Oryctolagus cuniculus: one gene and its partner. The protein of the gene in region 1 purifies or fractionates together with the protein of each later gene. This does not show direct contact. Links are inferred from orthologs where the notes say so. Each region holds a gene or a part of one and is shown in the gene's direction. Other genes may lie near its edges.

Evidence for each region. Proteins that work in one complex are often made in the same cells at the same time.
Region 2: the proteins of SUDS3 (region 1) and HDAC1 purify together in Homo sapiens (affinity purification with mass spectrometry; 9 studies listed by BioGRID and IntAct, counting the BioPlex papers as one, with this or other methods). This does not show direct contact. The link is inferred for Oryctolagus cuniculus from reciprocal best matches to the Homo sapiens genes SUDS3 and HDAC1.

What each region holds. Positions count from the first base shown.
Region 1 is NC_091452.1:14,529,479-14,533,134, forward strand, and holds part of SUDS3 (sin3 histone deacetylase corepressor complex component SDS3), read left to right. Parts: intron 1-492; coding exon 493-548; intron 549-2,886; coding exon 2,887-2,958; intron 2,959-3,656.
Region 2 is NC_091438.1:140,146,317-140,148,661, reverse strand, and holds the end of HDAC1 (histone deacetylase 1), read left to right. Parts: coding exon 1-115; intron 116-371; coding exon 372-524; intron 525-890; coding exon 891-939; intron 940-1,210; coding exon 1,211-1,238; 3' UTR 1,239-1,811; downstream 1,812-2,345. UniProt on the Homo sapiens protein: Histone deacetylase that catalyzes the deacetylation of lysine residues on the N-terminal part of the core histones (H2A, H2B, H3 and H4).

The sequences.
Region 1 (3,656 bases):
ATCTAAAGTATGATGGCATCACACTTAGTTTCCTTGTATATTCTAACCTAGCTCTGCTTATCGTTAGTTATTATAATAGCTGTCTTCATATTTGAAGGTCTTATTTTAATTTTTAAATTTTTATTTATTTGAGAGATAGAGGGAAAGAACTCCCACCCACTGGTTTACTCCCCAATATCAGGTGCCAGGGACCCATTCCAGGCCTCTCTTGTAGGTGGCAAGAACCCAGTTACTTGAGTCGTCACTTGCTGCCTCCCGGGGTCTGTGTTCGTAGGAAGCTGCAATGGAGAGTGGAGCCTTGACTAGAATCCAGGCGCTCTGATGTGGGATGCAGTCCTTTTTTGACCCCTGTACTGGTCCACTTTAAATGAGCCAGTCTCTTAAATGTTAGGATTGACGTTCCCGTAACATCCCAGGTAATTCCTGCGAGGACCATGTTTGAATGGAGTATTGAGTGTTCTGCTTTTCAGCGTGGCTTTTCTTTCTTCACAGGATGTATCAGGACAAACTGGCTTCTCTCAAGAGGCAGTTGCAGCAACTGCAGGAAGGTCAGTGTGTGGCTGAATCCTTCACTGTTAGCTTCAAATCTTCGGTGTGTGAATCTCACTTCTCTGCGGCAGTGGCTTAAAAGGGGATCTGGCTGGTTTTAGCGATCTACTGCATGTTTTGCTATCTTCTCTCACTAAAGTGATTTTTTTTTTAGGAAGATTTATTTACTTTGAAAGTCCGAGTTAGAGGGAGAGACAGAGAGATCTTCCATCCGCTGGTTCACTCCCCAGATGGCCCCAATCGCCAGATCTGAGCCAGGTTGAAGCCAGGAGCTTCTTCTGGGTCTCCCATGTGTGTGGCAGGGACCCAAACACTTGGGCCAACTTCTGCTTTTCCTAGGCCGTCACAGGGAGCTGGGTCAGAAGTGGAGCAGCTGGGACAGGAACCAACTGCCTCCCATGTGGGATGCCGGCATTGTGAGTAGCGGCTTTACCCTCCATGCCGCAGTGTCAAACTGCTACGTCGTGGCACTGGCCCCATTAATTTATTTTTAAAATGTAACAGTTTGGGGCCGGCACTGTGGCTCAGCGGGTTAACGCCCTGGCCTTAAGCACCAGCATCCCATATGGGTGCCAGTTCGAGACTTGGCTGCTCCACTTCTGATCCAGCTCTCTGCTATGGCTGGGAAAGAAGTAGAAGATGGCCCAAGTCACCTGGGCCCCTGCACCTGCGTGGGAGACCCAGAAGAAGCTCCTGGCTCCTGGCTCCTGGCTTCGGATCGGCGCAGTTCCAGCTGTTGTGACCAGTTGGGGAGTGAACCATCGGATGGAAGACCTCTCTCTCTCTGCTTCTCTCTCTGTGTAACTCTGACTTTCAAATAAATTTAAAAGAAAATAAATAAAAGATAAACACTTTGAAAAAGGCAAAAAAAAAGTAACAGATTAATTCTTCAAATGAAATTTCAATTGGGGCTTTTATAGGACATGAATTTATCACTGTGTCTAAAGCTAGATATTATTGTAGCAAAGAATAGTTAGTTTTACTACTCTATCTCAACCAAATGTTAATGAACTGTGGATTATCCATACTGTTTTTTCTCTTTTCTTGGTAAATTAAAAATGAACTAGATCTGAGGCCGGTGCTGTGGTGTAGTGGGCTAAGCCTCCACCTACATTGCCAGCATCCCATATGGGTGCCAGTTTGAGTCTTGGCTGCTGCTCTGATCCAGCTCTCTGCTTATGGCCTGGGAAAGCAGTGGAAGATGGCCCAAGTCCTCGGGCCCCTGCACCCACATGGGAGACTTGGAGGAGGCGCCTAACTCCTGGCTTTGGATTGGCCCAGTTTCTGTCCATTGCGGCCACATGGGAAGGCGAACCAGCAGATGGAGGACTTTCTTCTCCCTCTCTCTGTCTGTAACTCTGCCTCTCAAATAAATTAAAGAAATCTTTAAATAAAAAGTGGATCTTGTCTGTTGCTTTTGGTTACTGAAGGCAGTGCAAGTGTGAGGGTTAAGAACATGGGCTGAGCTCAATGATTGGTTTGAACCCCAGTGTCTCTAGGAATGTGACCTTGGTCATATCCCTTTCTCTTTATCTTTTTTCTTATCTGCAAAATGAAGAAAATAGGAGTGGGTGAATTTATAGGTGAGGAGTGTTGGGCCCCCGTAAGAACTCGGGGCCATTAGCTGCTACCTTTAGCTCTTTGACTTCATATTGTGGAGTCCCACATCTGTGAAACTGCTTTTCCTCTAGATATTTTAGTCCTACATGATTCACTCCCTTAGCCTGGGTCAGGGACAGACATTATTAGAACAGGTTTCCTTCTCAAATTGGGACCGTGATTCTTGGCTTTTTGGGGAAGAGCAGTGAAATAAGTAGGGATTCAGTTAGAATCTAAACTAGAGCTGTCTAGAACTGGCATAGCCACAAGTAGCTATTTAATTAAATAACAATAATTCACTTGCTTGGTCACATTAGTTTCAAGAGCTAATATAGCCACACATGGCCGATGGCTACCATATTAGTGCACATGTAGTACATTTCTACTGTTGGCAGAGCATTCTGCTGGACAGCCTTGACCTAGAAGATTTTTCCTGTAAAGGGATACACACTGTCCAGCAGCCAGGGACTGATAGCACCTGGGGTGTCTGGATCCTTCCACACCCCCTCATGGGAGAGTCTTGGGCCACTGGGTTGGGGTGGACTCAGATTAGGTCCAACTAATTTGATTTTTGCTGCCTTGGCCAAGAACCAAGATCCAGTTAACTCTGCCCAGGTCGGGCTTTCCTGCATTTGTCTTTTACTCTGGTGTTATTAAAATATCACTGTTGGTGCTCAAAGATAATGTTAGGAAACAGATTGATCCCTAAAGTAACTATTTTGTAAATTCTCAAATCAGGTACCTTACAGGAATATCAGAAGAGAATGAAAAAACTAGATCAGCAGTACAAAGAAAGGATCCGAAACGCAGGTAAGCCTTGTTAAAGTGCAGGTCAGCCTTACGTTGTCCACCTTTGCTGATCCCGGAGGCAGTGCCGCCCTAAAAGTGGTGCCCCGATGTGTTTCAGATTCTCCATTGAGGAGGGAGTTTTTGGGAAGAGAGGCTCTAGCTACAGTGATGTAAAATTGACTTATCTTCTTTCCTAGTTGCCCAAGAATGGTTCAGTAGTCATGGGTGGCCCTGGGCAGTCAGATTCTGCTCCCTTGTACCCCAACAGAAGTGTACACACTTGCTCATGTGAGCGTGGCTGACTTAATGGGTGGTCAGCGGTGCTGATGTGAACAAGGTTTTACTCCCATTTCTCTTTTCCCGAGTATTCTCTGCTCTGGGGACAGGGTTGTCCTCTTGTAATCTCCCCAGGTATTGCAAGCATTAGGGGAAAGGGCATGCTTTTAGTCTGTTGCTCGTGGTAAATTATTCACTCAACGATTTGTTGAGTAAATGTGAGTTCCTAAGTCCTGCAGAAAATAGATGTGACAGCTATCCAATGTGTAAACCTGGGTTCTAGTTCATTACCAGCTTGCATTTTTGAGTGCTGCCAGGGTGCTGTGTGTTCTTATCATGGTAGAAGTAATGTTGCTGGTTTTTGTTTGTTATCTAAGAAGTGGAGACAGATAGTAGTCCTCAGATGTCTGCAGTGGCTAAGCCTGGCCTGAGTTGAAGGCAGG
Region 2 (2,345 bases), on another chromosome or scaffold:
AACCTGAGGATGCTGCCGCACGCGCCTGGGGTCCAAATGCAGGCGATTCCTGAGGATGCCATCCCGGAGGAGAGTGGCGATGAGGATGAAGAAGACCCTGACAAGCGCATCTCGAGTAAGACACAGACTCTTGGCCTCCGCCTTCTACTCAGCAGGCAGCTAGGGCTTCCCTCCGCCATTTCTGCCTGCCTGCTGAGAAACCTGGAAGTTCTAGGGCCTGCAGGAACAGGCTGGGAGTCAGTTCACTCCCTCACCTCCTTGTGGTCCCCATCCCTTGGTTGTCTCTGAGGACACACAGCGAAGCACTGAACATAGACCCTGGGATTAAAACCTCCTGCTCTCACCCAGACTTTCCATCTCCTGCCTCCTAGTCTGTTCCTCTGACAAACGAATTGCCTGTGAGGAGGAGTTTTCCGACTCCGATGAGGAGGGAGAGGGCGGGCGCAAGAATTCTTCCAACTTCAAGAAAGCCAAGAGAGTCAAAACAGAAGATGAAAAAGACAAAGATGCTGAAGAGAAGAAAGGTAGGTCTGGATGTCCAGCACTGGGGTCTCAGCCCACGCCCTGCCACATCTGCAGGGATCAGGGGCTCCCAGAAGCAGCAGGGCCCACAATGCAGTGGCTCTCACATACCACCCAAGCGCTTTTCCCAGCACTCACCCCAGTTTCCCAGGGGGCTGCCTCCGCCCACCAAGCTCTGGCTCAGGCAGGCTGGAAAACCGGTCCAACCTGTCTGTTTTCAGCAGGGCTCACTGGGAGGGCCTGGGATGGGCTTTTCTCTTGTTCTAAGTCCAGTAAGCCATAGTGCTGGGAGGGGGTTTTGGGGTAAAGACTGTATGGGTCTCTCCAGAGGGGCTGCCCTTGATCATCCCTGCACTCTTATGTTCTAGAAGTCGCAGAAGAGGAGAAAACCAAGGAGGAGAAGCCAGAAGCCAAAGGGTGAGGAAGGAGCTGTCTGCCTTGGTGTTGGAGCATCAGCCCCTTTGTCCCACTGCTCTGAGAGGGAAGGCACAGGGACAGCTGGTCCCACTTACAAAGGCCTCTTTCAGGGACCAGTCTGTCTGTCTCTGCAGCTCTAGGCAGAGCTAAGAAGCCCCAGCCCCCGGCAGTCACCTGGGCAGCCTGGGCCTGAGGAAGTCATTGTATCCCCACTCTTGCCCCAAGGCCTCTGGGGTGGGTTATCTCATGCCAGTCTCTGCTTTCTCCACAGGGTCAAAGAGGAGGTCAAGCTGGCCTGAGCAGACTTCTCCAGATCTGGCTCCTGGCCAGCTTTCCCACCTTTCTCCCTTAACCCCTCAAGATTTTATATTTTCTATTTCTGTGTATTTATATAAAAATATATTAAATATAAATATCCCTGAGGACTAGACAAGAACCAAGGCCCTGAGGCCAGGGTAGCCAAGCTGGGTAAACTCATAGCCGCTGCCCTGCCAGCCATCCCTCCCCAGTTCGATTTTAAACCACGAAGGGCTCCAGGTGTGGGTAGAAGGGAGCTACAAGACACGCCGGGGTGTGTCCCTAGCAGGTATGGAAAGGTGCCCCCTGTTGACCATTCTAGGAGGGTAGGGGTGGCTGGGTCTTCAGGGACTTCCTGTTCTTTCCAGCCCCTAAGGTAACGTTAGCCATTTTTAGGTTGGTTCTGTTCTCGTCATACCGTCCCGCTGGCCTCAGGTGAGCCCCGAAACTAATGCTGCCCGCCCTCGGTCTTCCCCAGCTCTGCAGGTGGAGGCTGGCGGCCTAGCTTCCTTTTTGAGATACTATTTTCATTTTTGTGCGACTCTTTGTAATAAAATGGTACCTTTCTATACCCACCTGAGCCTCTGTTTCCTGGCACTCCCTGGGTTGATGTCAGCTCTGAACTCCCTGCGTTCTGGTGTACGGGCAGGGCAGCCCTACGACGACAAAGCCCGTAAACTTACCTGCCTTCTAGTTTGCTCCTGGCTGGAGGTTAACTAGTGTCCACAGATCTCACCCCATCCCCAGAAGACCAGTCATTAAAGCACCACTAAAGGGACAACATTTATTCCTTTTCCAAAGGTTACAGTAAAACCAGGTGGAAGAGAATGGTTTTAGCAATTAGAAAAAAAAAGTACAAATCTGGGGTTTGGCCATTAAAAGTTATTTACAACAATGGGAGAAAAAGACAACAAGAAGTTGTTTCACATTACAGACTTCCCCCACCCCAAAGCCTAATACTTGCTTACCAAGTCAAAAAAGAGACACAGTTGATTCACAAGCTGGAGGTTTGAACTTGAGTAAGACATTTATAAAAACCCAGACAGGGGCAGTGTCCTCCCCAGCCCAGGTGCCACTAGGCACAGCACAAGAGACTAAAAACTCAACAG